2 linked regions of the Danio rerio genome follow. The protein of the gene in region 2 purifies or fractionates together with the protein of the main gene of each other region. This does not show direct contact. Links are inferred from orthologs where the notes say so. Each region holds a gene or a part of one and is shown on either strand. Other genes may lie near its edges.

Region 1 (7,099 bases), on a different chromosome or scaffold from region 2:
ACCTGACACCACTCTTCCGTCCCGACAGCAGCAATAAGCAACAACAGCAAGCGGAAATGACTCACGTTCAGCTGTGGAGCCCGGCGGTTGTTTCACAATAAAAGCCGACTGTCATAGGTTTTGTCGATTTTATTATAATGCTGGAATTAGTTTATGGTTGAAAACTATCGCTATTTAGACCGACAGAAACCAATTTTTACCATCCCTTATTAATAGACAACTTCATTAAACATTTCTAATAAAACGTGCTTATTTGTCATATTGCTCACCAGCTTTGAATTACGTCTATTGAAACAAAAATAGAAAGTCTACTTTAGGATGACCCACAAAGCAATTTATATTTTCGGTGGCCGTCTTTTATTTTGTCATTCGCGCTTCCGGTATTCTGATGCAGTAGAAGTTTCTAACTTCTCACTGTGGAATTACCCAAGTTCATGTCCTTTTTCAGTATGACTATTTATAGGCGCTATAATGCTGCAGTTTTAAATTTTGTTAAACTTTTTAACAGGAAGATACCAACAAGCTGGTACATGTTTATTTGCATTTTCTTCTTCAAATACCTTTCTGCTATATTAAAAAAGGTCTCAGCAGTTTTCTGTTGGGTGATATTTAAGCTATTTTGTGTTTGACAAGGTATAGTCAATTTGATGTATATTCACTCACAACAGTAGCCTTTTTTTAAAGATTTTTTTATTATCTTTTATTATTATTTATTTATTTATTTGCATTAAGGCGGTCTCCGTTTAAATCATGTGAGTGTTAACTGTGTATTCAAACATTGTGCCAATTACTGTAATTACAAACTTACAAAAAGCATCCACACCCTCTTAGAACTTGAAATATTAACTTTTTCAGAGATCCTACTTACATTATTATACATTTAATATTTTGGCAGAGCAGAGGCTTTCGCAAAAGGAATGCTCCACTTCTGTGGAAATAGGTTAGTTTTACAAGCTCGCAAGAGCTAAACTGTTGAGTTTGACCATTTTTTAATTCCATTCAGCCAATCTCCTGGTCTGGCAGAAACACTAATATCTAAGCATAAATCATTGAATCAGATTAGACCATTAGTATCATTAGTATCAATTTTTAATTTGCAACAGTCTTAGTACATGAAGAACAGTAACTACAGAGGATCAGGCTTTAAATGGGAAAATTATCAAAATTCTATTTACTTATTTGACAAAATGCTAACGGTCTAATCCAATTCAGTGATTTATGCTAAGCTAAGCTAAAAATGGGTAAAGACCTAGATAGGGCACAGCTGCGGATACGCACGTCAATATAGCATCATACTTGTGATGCTGTGTAACAACAATTAATATTTTTACAGTACTGTGTTGGTTGGGTTTAGGGGTAGGTTAGGGGTATAAAATACAACTTATTGGGTAATTTACTAGATAACACAAATAATACTAGGTACAACTACTGTTCTTACAGTACCATGACGGTTGGGTTTAGGGTGGGGGTAGACTAAAAAAAGGACAATTTATTGGCCAGTTTATTAAATAACATTATACTCGGTACAACTACCGTTTTTACAATACTACAAACATTGGGTTTAAAGTTGGGGTAGAGGTAGACGTTTTTTAAAAACACAATTATTGGAAAATTTAATACATCAGGGGTCACCAAACTTGTTCCTGGAGGGCCGGTGTCCTACACATTTTAGCTCTAACTCTTATCAAACACAACTGAACAAGCTAATCAAGGCATTAGGTATACTTGAAACACCCAGCAGGTGTGTTGAGGCAAGTTGGAGCTAAACCCTGCAGGGACACCGGCCCTCCAGGACCAGGATTGGTGAACCCTGTAATACATAATAGAAATAATTCTCGTCCACTTCCGGACGCAACCTTATCTGATCTAGCAACAACCCTAAAAATGACCCCACCAGAGCTGGGGATTGACTGAATGGATTAAAAATAACGTAAAACTCAACTGTTTAACTCTTGAAAAGCTGTAAAATAATACTATTTCCAAAAAAAGTGGAGTGCTTCTTTCAATTGTTCTATTTGGTAATTTAATGTTTAATGAAAATAATAATAATTATTATTATTAAATATATTATTATTAAATAATATGATAACTTCTAATTAGTGTAATGCAGTATACAATTTATATACAAAGTCAGAATTATTAGCCCCCCTTTGATTTTTTTTTCTCTTTTTTTTTAAATATTTCCCAAAATTAAGTTTAACAGAGCAAGGAAATTTTCACAGTATGTCTGATAATTTTATTCCTTCTGGAGAAAGTCTTATTTGTTTTATTTCGACAAGAATAAAAGCAGTTTTTGATTTTGTAATAAACATTTTAAGGACAAAATTTTTGGCCCCTTTAGGATATATATATATATATATATATATATATATATATATATATATATATATATATATATATATTTTTTTTTTTTTTGATAGTCTACAGAAAAAAACAATTGTCATACAATAACTTAACCTAATTATCCTAACCTGCCTAGTTCATCTAATTAACCTAGTTAAGCCTTTAAATGTCACTTTAAGCTTTATAGAAGTGTCTTGAAAAATATCTAGTCAAATATTATTTACTGTCATCATGGCAAAGATAAAATAAATCAGTTATTAGAGTTGACTTATTAAAACTATTATGTTTAGAAATGTGTTGAAAAAAATCTACTCTCCATTAAACAAAAATTTGGGGAAAAAATAAACGGGGGTTAATAAATCAGGGGGCTAATAATTCTGACTTCAACTGTGTGCTGTACTACCTGACCACCACTTATTCATTTAGGTCAGGGGTGCCCAAACTCAGTCCTGTTGGGCTGGTGTCCTTCATAATTTAGTTTCAACCCCAATTAAACACACCTGCACCAGGTAATCAAGCTCTTTCCAGGTATACTAGAAACCACCAGGCAAGTGTGTTAAAGGAAGTTGGAGCTAAACCATGCAGGACACTGGTTCTTCAGGACCGAGTTTAGGCACCCCTGATTTAGGTGCTATGTTTTGGCATTTAAACCGTAGTAGCTTAATTCAGAGATCAGAGTTCAATTTGGGCTATTATGTCAAGGCTCAGCATATTTGTTAATGGAACAAACTACGAGTAAAGCATTACTTGATGTTTTACGCCAAAGTTCTTCTGCCACAACATAGTTACAACAACGGTGTACACCTCAAATGGCTGCTGTGATTTGCATAAAAACAAAGTTGCGAGATATTTGATGGAGAATGGATGAGTTTCATTTTAATCTTTGCCAATTTACAATCAAGCCACCAAAAAAATTACAATCCTGTGTATTTCTTCCTCACCCTCCCCTCATAATTATTATTATTATTTTTCAGATTCTGCAGATCACACACAAAATCTTACAGGTGGACAAGCATCGGTATCCATTCTGTGTATTCATTCTTCTGTACACTCCGAATAGTGAGCTAGAACAGCACGACACCTGGCACTCACACACACACACACACCTTAATACAAAGTATCGGATGAGTAAACACAGAAGTCAGAAGAATCAATGTATCCCTTGCTCATTTATGGAAATGGATTCACACAAGAAAGAGCACTGTATTCAATACAAGGAAAGGTCACCTGTTACACATGGAGTGGATGATGAGATGTTAACAACTACGAGGTCGATCGGGGGGGAAACCTGTTTATGCTAAGGGATTAAAATCGTTTACTATATTCATATCTGTATGCGCTTAAAATTCCCATACAGCTACATATTTGTGTAGAATATCAGATTATTACTTAGTGTTAGCTAAATGTACCCATGGATGCATACGTTCATGTTCAAATATCGTCTTTAACCTTTTTTTTCCAGAATATACAATAATGAAATGCATTAAACAGACTGACAGTGTAAGCTCTTCACATACAATACATCAAAATTAAGAGATTCTACATTAGTTTCCTCTCACGACAGAGTGCAAATCAGATGCTTCACAACATATTTTAAGGTTAATTGCTCTTCTCAACACTCCACTTACATACACAACCCATGCCCCCTTAAAAAAAATCAGCTCACAAAAAAAAAAGAACTAGTGATATAAGTAGCCTTAAATATGGAATGTGAAATAACAAAAGTGTGGTCCGATTTTTTTCTTTGACAACACAAATAAAAATGAAGTCCTTCATTGCAGGAAAATAATTTAAAACATGTAACTTTTTTTTGTTTGTTTGTTTGTTTTACTTTATATAACCTTGTGAGTAGACCACGATAAGCTTTGTGAGGAACTTAAGGAGAGATGGATGGACAGCTGTGGGCAGGAGGGCTTTACATGCCATAGCCGAAGCCGGGCTGTGCGGGTTGGGTGTAGCCGGTCGCTGTGGGGTAGCCATAGCCGTAAGGCTGCTGTGGGGGAACTGCCACATTGGGACCTGCAGTGAGCATCAGCTGGGGTGTGCCTGAAAAAAATCATTCAAAACAGGAGCATTAGTACTGAAACCATGTATATAATTTGTTTGTTCATATTTAACAAGCTTTGAATGCAACAGTAAAATAGAGCTTAGATCGAGCCCAAAAAATTAAACCTGACCCTACTCGAGCAACTTGTGTCCAAGTCTGACCTGGTGTGACACATTAACGGTAATTATGAGCCTGAAGGCTGATTTATACTTCGGCGTCAAGCGCAGGCTCTGGCTCAAGGCTGATTTATACTTCTGTGTCAAACACACGTGTATGCTCCGGCACAAGCCTACGCATGGTCGCATAGCCCTCGTCATCGCTAATGTACACCTCTCAAAAATTGTTACTACAAGTCACAACGGCGTGTAGCGCAAGCTCCGTGATTGGTCGGCTGGGGTAGCTGTGACGAGTGTGGGCGGTGTGTGCAGTGTTGCCAACTTTTCAGACCCCCTTAAACTGAGATATATCCAGCTACAGGCCCGCAGAACCACACACGTTTTAGGCACACACAATCTGGCACACACAATCTAGGCAAACCATATATGGTTACGACGGATGTTAATGTTATTAACGTCTTTTTGAACATCGTCATCGATATGTTTTGATATATATGGTTAATAAATATTGTACACAACAAACAATAGTGTTTACTTTACTTTATTTCACAAATATTGTGATCGAGATGGCCGAATGGGGAGCATTGCTTCCGATCGCCATTCAATATAATAGACTGAACAGCTTTTAATCAGTCATTATAGCAAATCAGTCATTATTATCTGACAATAATATGGCAGATACGCGTTTGGTGGCCTTGCTGAACTATCTAATTTGGACAGGTTTAATTTATATAATGGATTCATTTATAATGAAGGAAATAATAGCAAGTAAATATAGGCAATAACACATTATATGTAATAAAAATCTTTTTACATGTAACAAATGTATAACAATATATTAATATTTTACTCAAAAGCGATTTTATAGTGTTTATTTGCTTAACTTTCTAATAACCTTTTAATGAATGATTTCCCACATTTAATACTGTAGTAATTTATAGTAAGCAACAAATTGTTTTTAAATCAAAATTTAGCAATAAGAACAAATTAACTATTAATAATTAATAAAAAATAATAAGTAAAAAAAAAAAAAAATATATATATATATATATATACACACACACACACACACACACACACACACACACAGCTGTGACAGTTTAATAAAAGATAGTTTATATATAAACTTATAATTATAATCAGTTAAGATAATCAGTTTATAACTATATATATATATAACTATATAACTATATATATATATATATATATATATATATATATATATATGTATATATATATATATATATATATATATATATATATATATATATATATATATATGTATATATATATATAGTTTAAATGATTAACTATAGTATGCTAATTTATTTTAATGTGACACAATATTGCTTGCTTTTTATATTTTACAACAAAGTGATTTTAACCAAGTATGATAAGATTAAGATCCTAATTTAGTTTATTACACTTAATCTTACAATTAGACAGTCTGTTATGTTTTCTTTGTGTATGTGGACACATGAATAAAGTCATAAGTGTCTTTAACCAATTATTTTTATTTACATAATTTGATTTCAGAAACTGCAGAGATGATGATAATAATAATGACTTAAACCATACTTGTGAAATTCAATAGGTGGCGATAAAGCTAAAGAGTTAGTTAGTTACCACATATGGTTTGCCTAAATCGTGTGTCCTAGATTGTGTGTGCCTAAAACGTGTGTGGTTCTGCGGGCCTGCAGATGGATATTATTGCTTAAGCCTGGTTTATACCTCTGCTTTGAGTGATCGGCGTCACCCACGGCGCATGCAACGCTGTGCATTCATACTTCTGCTCGCTGTTTCTGTTGCTCTGCAATAATAATTCCTAAACTCTACCTGGCAGTAGGTGTTCATGTTCCTCAGTAACGAGTTTCTTATAACTATTAAAGAGATTTTTGTGATAGTTTTGGAACTTGTGTGTTTATAATGTTTGGGAGATTACTGCAAATTCATTATACATCTATATGAATATTCAAACAATTAATTTAATTAAATTGACATTCATATATAAAGCATAGTGCAATTGTAAATATTTCCATTGCTATAAATATTAACCATAGGCTGTAAAAAAACTGCTGGACATGATGACGTCAGTAATATGCAAATTGACGTATGACGTAATTTAGCAACATTTAGCAACTTTTTGAGCATATCTTAGCGCCTTTTCATTGAAAATAGTTGGCAACACTGTGGTGGTGCTAAGAGCCACGAGCCATAGGGGAGCGAGTGTTTACAAGTGTTGGGTCCCGTAAAGGAGCTCCAGATGGAAAATGTTGTTTTGTGTTCACCTTATGATTAATGCTGTTGCACGTCCGCCATTTCCCACCTCTGAATAAGTTTGTTTTAGCTACTTGTACATTTAAAATCTGATCACTCGACGCAGAACTAAAAATCAGCCTTGAGCCCAATTTAAACTCGACTATTTTTTTAATAAGTGAGCTGTTACAACATACTTTCTCAGCTACAACTCTGAGTTGTTTGAACTACAGAAATTAGTTTAGATTTATCTTACCTCGCTCTCAGGGGCATGCTTGAAGAAGTGACAAAAGAGGACATTGAAGACTGACTATCATACTTTCTGCATACCTGTCAA
Region 2 (8,461 bases):
GTCGGCGGACTTTAGATGCAGAGAGGAGGAGTTGACAAAAGGCATCCAGGATCGAGTCCGGGGAAGAGAGGTTCCAGAAACCAGGTAAGACAAAAACAGAATCCAAAAAATAAAGCGAACGAGTTCATAACTGAGGGTGAGAATGCGGTGAAATCCGAAAACGTGGTAAAAAAAAAAAAACAGACGAGGGCTTTTCTTTTTCTAGACGGCTTTTCTAAATTGTTGCTCGGGTTTAAGAAAGTAAATGGGCGAGCGGATCAATAGGTAAAACTGGTTGGGTTCAGGGAAGGAGGAGGGTGGGTCAGCCGATTGGCCGGTTGCGCGGTCAATTATTCGGTCAGTCAGACAGTGGCCTCTGGTCGGTTGACGCGAGAACAGCGCGGGCGCAAACGGCACTCGCGAGAGACGATCAAGATACGAAAAAGCGCGCACAGCGGCCTCTCGCGGATTCGCAAAAACAATAACTGCACAAATACGTACCTCCCGTGACGTATTTCGCGGTCTCCAGAAACATCCGCTGGACTACGTTTTCAGAATGAGCCTGGGTTGGACAAAGCGCGCATAAATGGTTTAAAACAGTTGTCATGTCAACTTGCTGCAGTAAACAAAGCCCACAATGCTTGCTCCACCTTTAAGCTCTTCTGATTGGCCCACTGCTCTAGCACTGAATGCGAACGGATTGGTTAATATCAGCTGCCAATCACTCATTCGATGGCTTTCTTTAGATGACAGGGAGAGCTACAACCGCAAACATGTTAAGGGCTGGAGATGAGAGGATGAAAACAACACTGACAGATTAAGTTTTATAAAACACCTAAAGTTACAAATGATGACACATCTGATTAATGATCATTTGGTGAATGTTAATTCACCGTTTACTCTTTTCAAAGAGTGGATAAAAGACATTCAGTTTAAAGTCCGCTATGAAAATGACTAAAGCATTCACCGTAAAGCCGCTGGGACTGAGTTTGCAGGTAACAGCGTTTGTCAAATCTACACATTTTAGCACAAGAGGTTCTGTTTAATTCTTCATTTAATCAACAGGATGCTGTCAGCTGTATGTAAAATGTAACACCACGTACACAATCGCAAAAGGGCTTGCATTCATTAAGATAAAACTAATATTGCAGCTCATAAAAAAACCGTATTGCTATTAAGATGACGTATGCAAATAATAAGCTATTATGTCAGTCTTATCTGTGCAATATTACACAGCACCCGTGAGAACTGCTAAGTTAACTAAGTTTAATTCATGTCAAGCAGTGCATGCAGGGCTGGTGGGCACATGCAGATGTCGTTTTGTTAGATTGTTTAGTGTTTATTTCAAATGCAGTAAGTCGGTTAATATAACATTAAAACTTGTAGTAACGGTGCTTATAATTGGTGGGTGTGACTAAATTTTGGCTGGTGCTCCTAACTTTTTAAAGTTGGGAGTACCAGTGCTACCAAGAAAAAAGGTTAATTTCGAGCCCTGTTTTACTGTACTTGAATACTGTTAGACAAGGGAAATGATAAAACACTTTATTTCAAGAGTACATTTTTCTTGATTGTATTTATAGATAGTTATGTAATAAAATACAACACATGCAGAAATGCACTGCAAATAGCACAGACCACTTCGAAAATGTATAATGTACTTGATTTTAAATGCATTAGATTTTATGGAGATGCACTCCACTACAGAATCATCCCAATCGATATATATATATATATCTTGGCGGACTTTAAACTCAATGTCTTTTATCCACTCTGAAAAGAGTAAACGGTGGATTAACATTCCACAAATGATCATTAATCAGATGTGACATCATTTGTAACTTTAGGTGTTTTTAATTACACAGCAAATACACTATATATATATATATATATATATATATATATATATATATATAGGATTTTCCAATATCGTCCAACCTAGCAGACTTCATTCTCATTTTCATTCTCATTTTCATCGCAGACTCATTTTGAATGTTACTATTGTTTTGCCATATTATTACTGCATAATATACACCATTTTCAATAGTGAAAAGAACAGAATCTCGTTAAAATATAATTTGAACCCCATTTTATTGTATTTTTACAAACCACGCTGAAAATAATGGAATTTGAATAAATGCATATGAATAAAGCAAATAGTTGATCAAATGTCAACATAAATATAAAAGCTAAGCATCATAAATATTTCTCGGCAAGTGAAAGTTTGTGCAAGTAAATGCATTTTGTGAAGTGAAGGTGTGATTTTCTGAGTGAAAGTGAGATACATTTTTCCTGCTGCATTGAAAAATGCATCAACAAGATCCAGTTTGAATAAGAAAACAATATATACACTAGGGATGCAACCGGGTTCACTATTAACTGCGATTTAATTCGTCACACCGTGTTTCTGCACTGCTGAAACTTAACTGCGCTAGTTTGTCACTGAGACTAATAACCACGCACACTAGATTAACTATGACCGAGGCTAAGGCAAGCTCATGCAAGTTCATTATTTCCACTGGAGGGACGCACACACGACGTACAGCGCTCTTGCTTTATTATTATTAGTTATTATTAATGGCGCCGATAAGAGCGATCATGTAGTAAATGTTAAATCACCAGCCAAGATCAACAGAGTGATTTTAAAGAGTGCTGAAAGAATTGGATTGGATCAGCTGTTTAATGGCCTAAATCTTGATGCGTTGCATTCACCGCAAATTTCTGCTAAATGTAAAACCTAACAATGTACACATTATCGCCCAAAGAAGCTCGCCTTTACTAAGTTTAAACTGAAACTGCGGCTCATGACAACAGTACTGCACTGGTGGTCATCTACAGAATCCTGCTCTACCCCGCTTGTATGAGCCGGCTGACTCACTGTTGTTGTTTTTTTCACACAGAGTGATGAAAATCAGAGCATAACGAGACTAAGCATTTACAATGAACAAACCGAAACCAAAACTTTTAAATAGGAGCAGAAGTGAGACTTTTCTTCCTTTCTTTTGTCCATTCTTTCTGTTTGTAAATTAACCAGCATATAAAACAATAGTGCAAAATAAACTTTTCTTACTGCAATGCTTAATTTTTTTGATGCAAACCATACATTTATTTATCATAAAGTAACAGTAGGACTTTTTATAGCAGATAACTCTCACATTCAAAGCAGCAAGAAAATGAGAAATGTTAATCATTCATTGTTAGTATTAGTGTCATCTTCGTCATCAATAATATTTTAGAATTATTAGACATTCATTTTGAAGTTATTGCGCAAATATCAATAAGTCATCTCAGCATTAGTTAGATAGTTGTTTGTGGTTTTTGTTAGTCCTAATTGATGTTGTTTTCAAATACAATAAATCCCTTAATATACAAGTTGCAGTGGTGTTTATTAATTTTTAGTGGGTGCTCCTACATTTTTTTATTTATTCTTTCTTTTATTTATTTATTGTTCTGTCATTTATTTACAGTGTAAAATTCTTTGTTTAAATGTCAAAAACATTCACTTATTTTTAAGCACAAAGAGAGAAATTTACTATTGTTCGTTTTTTATATTATTTTGTGCTTTATTAATTAGCTACTGAGCAGCAATAAATAACACTGTAAAGCAAAAGGAGTTTTTATCTTATTTTCTAAACTGGTGGGGCTTGAAATTAATAAATGCATAATAATTGTGATAACCGTGAAACCGTGATTATTTCCATGACTATAATCGTACAACCAAAATGTATAATCGTTGCATCCCTAATATACACACACACACACACACACACACATATCTGAATTTTTTTATTTATTTTTTTTTTTGGGGGGGGGGGGGGTGGATATTATACAGTATATAGTTTTTGACACTAATATGACAAGATAACAAAATGAGTTTTTGGCACCTAAAGATGCTCTGTTTACATAAGTCCAAAATTCTACAAATATATTTTAAAGGCTATATCTCTTAAATGATTATTGCAAAATTGCAACAACATATGAAATAGGTAACAATTTAGTTCAAGTACTAATTCTTACTATTAACAACTGGCTTATTGCCTGTATATTAATGAGATATTAACTGTTTGGTAGTACTTAAAATACATATTTTGCATCCCTAACCCTACCAAACACATAAAGCCAACTAAAACCTTACTATTAATAAGCAGCAAAGTAGAAGTTTGTCAAACTACAAGTCAAAATTAATGATTTATTAATAGCAAGAGTTTTACCATAAAATGAAGTGTGGCCAATGAATGAATGAATGAATGAATGAATGAATGAATGAATGAATATATGAATGAATGAATTGCAATGTAAAGTTTTGTTATTATTATTTATTTTTAAAGCTCTCACCAAAATCATTTTAAAAGCTAGCTGCAATAGCCACATTAATGTCATGCATACTGTATGTGTGCATAAATGCAAGTATAAATCGCTTTAAACGACACACATTTCGTAGAATGACCCTTGGGGGATTATAAAGGTGGAACCATTACGACGTTTAACCAGAGCAGTCGCGCATGCGCACAAACGGCAGTTTACAGTCACCTAATTCAGCGTTTAAAGCATCCATCATTCATACGATTGGAACCCAAATAACTAACGTTACCTCTGTCAATGGTTTCCACAACTTCAGAAGAAAGTTACACTCGTTATAACTGCACACATAGGATATCCTGTCGAGTTTCCATGACATACTGCCTGCCTTAACTAATTTTCTGGAAAACTTTGGTCACACACACACGCAGCTTACAAAACACCATAGAAAAAGCTCTCAAAGAAAAAAAACTAAACACAACCAAAAGCAAGATTAAGAATGAATTTAACTATCGCTGATATACATGTATTCCTAGTAGTTTGTTAACCGAACTCGTTGTCATACAACCCTGCGTTTTAAACAAAATTCTGCAAAAATAAATGACATTGCAAACATTGACATAACAAAATTCACTGTAACCATACTGAATGAACACATTCATTAGCAGCATGCTAGCGCGCCACTGTAGAAGCAATTAAACACAACTTACGCCTAACAACACCTTTAGTTGCCACAAAGCGCAGTCAAGCAATAAATAAAGTAAGCGAAGTCACTCACATTGTGTGTAAATCCGGTAAGAGCAGCTTCTTTTGAGGACAGATGAGCGACAGACTGTCCCGGTTAGCGGTGACAGATTCCCTCCTCGATGCTGAATATTCCCTTTTCCAAAGCCGCTGTCGTTCCTCTCTGTGTGTCCGGCTTCAGACTGAAGTCCACTGGAATAACAGCGACCTCAACGGTGACACAGTAGCGCTGACTGACACAGGTGGTGTCTCAATACACAGGGTCATGACTGGCAAAATAGTTTGAGTAAAAGCGGCATGCAGTAGGCGAGTGCAGTGGACTTTACATGTACGCGCTACAATGATATAAGTTACTTGACGGGCTTCACTACAAATACATGACGCACCATTATGCTGCCTAGGTAGGGCGCAAACTAATCTTTTAAGACGTAGCCGATACATTGATTGATCTAAATGACACGAATAACTGGTTGTTTACTATAAAGGTGATATAGAATATGTTTTACGAGGAATATTTTAGTTTTAATGACTAAATATATAGTATGTCATGGTAAATTTTACCAGTTCTTATCGCTCAAATCAAGCTGCTTATTAGTGTTATGTAAAAAAATAGTGTTATCATCACATAAAAACATCAAACATACTAAAACAGGTCGTCTAATATTAAAAGTTATCCCCTCAAGCACATTATTATCGTCTTGTGTACACTTTACAACCTAACGTTAAAGCTAATGTTGTTTTCATTTTGGCTAACCAAAAACCTTAAAAGAACGTTCTGGGAACTAAAAGAAGGTTAAGTTAAAACGTTCTGGTGGCTGGAATCAGTTCTTCAAGTTATAAACTGTATTATTGTACTAAAACAAGTCCCAGTTCGTTAACGTACTAGTAAAGTTTAATTCAGGATGGATAAAACTTGCTAAGGGATGAGGAGAAAGTCACAAGGTGCCTACTGGGTTGCCATAGTTACTAAAAGGCGCGCAACTGATACAAACTGAAGGCTCATTAATATTTTATTTGGCTTGTAATTCAAAACGTATAGAAGTATTCCTAAGTTGAAATCTTAAACCACATTGAAAGCAGACTTTGTGTTTGTAAATCTAATTAGGACACCTGATCTCTCACTACGTGTCGCTATATCAAATTTCTAAGCAAAAAAGTTATAACAAACAGTTTTTTTGTGTGTGTTTAAGACTCTGACAACCACTCTTCATCCCATATACGACTTCATGCTGTTGCTTTGGGGTGTTATACAGGTTAACTATAGCCTCCAGCTTGAGTTACGTATAGTCTCACAGAATATCTTGGGATGGAGACAGAGTAGGCCTAATATTCGACATCAGTTTCCCCAGAAACAGCTAAACAAGAGTTTTAAGTCATCTGGTGAGCCTGAAGAAGCTCCATTAATTAGATTTAATGCCACGCTGACTTCTGCATTTCCCAAGAGCATTGCAGACATAAAAACAAACGTGCATAAAGCATGCAAGGTGTACCAGAGCACATTTGCCAGAAGCAAAAAATATGAAAGAGTTCTTATAGCAAAATGATTATCTTAAAATAATAATTTTTTATGTAGCCTATATTACTAGCTCTAATGGGAGAACATATGAAGTAAGGGGGTTATGCCAGCTGGGACACATTATAAATAAAAACATAAAATAACCAGCATAACTAGAGTATGAATATGCTCTGAGATCAGATCTCGAGACGTAAAAATAAATCAATTTTATTTAAGTTTAAATTTTATAATTTAAATGTTTTTTTTAAATGTCAATTTCTAGACATTGAGATTTATACATCACATGAAAGTTGAATAAATTTGTTACTTTGATGTATGTTTTGTTATGATTTGGCAAGTTTTAGTAAATATCCCTACTGAAAAGAATTGCTTAAACCAGCCTGGTTTTAGCTGCCAGGCAGGTTTTAAAGTGGTTTTGGCCACTGGTTTCCAGCAATTTCCAGACTAGTCTTAGCTGGTCAGGCTGGGAGATGACCAGCTTAAACCAGCTTGACCAGCCTAGCCAGGCTGGGAGCCCAGCCAAAACCAGCTAAGTTCAGCTTAAATCTGGCTGGTCAAGCTGGTTTTACCTAGTCATCTCCCAGCCTGACCAGCTAAGACGAGTCTGGAAATTGCTGGAAACCAGCCTGGAAGTGGCCACAACCCCTCTAAAACCAGACTAGTCAACCAGCTAAAAGCAGCCAACTAGCTTAGGCTGGTTAAAGTTGTTTTTTCAGTAGGGATATCAGAAAAAAATAACTAAACATCAAGGAAAGTTGTCTTTAAATTGAGTCTATAATGCTTGCACTGTAAAAATAAATCAAGCAAAGTGATGAAAACAAATGTTTTGCTACTTTACATTATTGTTAAAATGAGCTAATCCGGTTTCATGTTTTTTTTTGTTTTTTTTTACGTTGTACAAAATGTAACTTAATAGTTGGATGCAAGCTAGACAAGTTCATTTGATTTAACTAAAAAAATAAGGCAGCAAGATTTGTTTTTACAGAGTAGTAATGTACTCTCACCGGCCACTTTATTAGGTACACCTTACTACTGTAGTACCAGGTTGGACACACTTTTGCCTTCAGAACTGCCTTAATCCTTTATGGCATAAACTCATCAAGGTACTCCTCAGATATTTTAGTCCATATTGACATGATAGCATCATAACTGCACATTCATGATGCAAATCTCCCATTCCACCACATCCCAAAGGTGCTCCATTGGATTGAGCTGGTGACTGGAGGTCATTTGAGTACTGTGAACTCATTGTTCAAGTATCAGAAGATGGGTACACTGTGGTCATAAAAGGATGGACATAGTCAGCAACAATACGGAGGAAGGCTGTGACATTGACATGATGCTCAATTGGTACTAATGGGCCAAAAGTGTGCCAAGAAAACATCCCCCACACCATAACACCACCACCAGCCTGAACCGTTGATACAAAGCAGGATGAATCCATACTTTCATGCTGTTGACGCCAAATTCTGACCCTACCATCTGAATGGCAACAGAAATCGAGACTCGTCAGACCAGACGTTTTTCCAATCTTCTATTGTCCAATTTTGGTGAGCCTGTGCTAAATTCCATCTCATTTAGCTGTTCTTAGCTGACAAGAGTGGCACCCTGTGTGGTCTTCTGCTGCTGTAGCCCATCCACCTCAAGGTTCGACGTGTGTCAGCTCAAACCAGTCTGGCCATTCTCCTCTGACCTCTGCCATCAACAAGGCATTCGCACCCACAGAACTGCCGCTCACTGGATATTTTCTCTTTTTCAGGCCATTCTCTATAAACTCTAGAGATGGCTGTGCGTAAAAATCCCAGTAGATCATCAGTTTCTGAAATATTCAGACCAGCCTGTCTGGCACCGACAACCATGTCATGTTCAAAGTCGCTTAAATCACCTTTCTTCCCTATTCCGATGGTCAATTTGAACTGCAGCAGA

Evidence for each region. The genes of interacting proteins can lie anywhere in the genome.
Region 1: the proteins of myo6b (region 2) and cltcb purify together in Homo sapiens (affinity purification with western blotting; 4 studies listed by BioGRID and IntAct, with this or other methods). This does not show direct contact. The link is inferred for Danio rerio from reciprocal best matches to the Homo sapiens genes MYO6 and CLTC.

What each region holds. Positions count from the first base shown.
Region 1 is NC_133190.1:19,767,981-19,775,079, reverse strand, and holds the end of cltcb (clathrin heavy chain 1), read right to left. Parts: intron 4,390-7,099; coding exon 4,259-4,389; 3' UTR 3,193-4,258; downstream 1-3,192. UniProt on the Homo sapiens protein: Clathrin is the major protein of the polyhedral coat of coated pits and vesicles. Two different adapter protein complexes link the clathrin lattice either to the plasma membrane or to the trans-Golgi network.
Region 2 is NC_133192.1:38,702,891-38,711,351, forward strand, and holds the start of myo6b (myosin VIb), read right to left. Parts: upstream 5,204-8,461; 5' UTR 5,054-5,203; intron 1-5,053. UniProt on the Homo sapiens protein: Myosins are actin-based motor molecules with ATPase activity. Unconventional myosins serve in intracellular movements. Myosin 6 is a reverse-direction motor protein that moves towards the minus-end of actin filaments.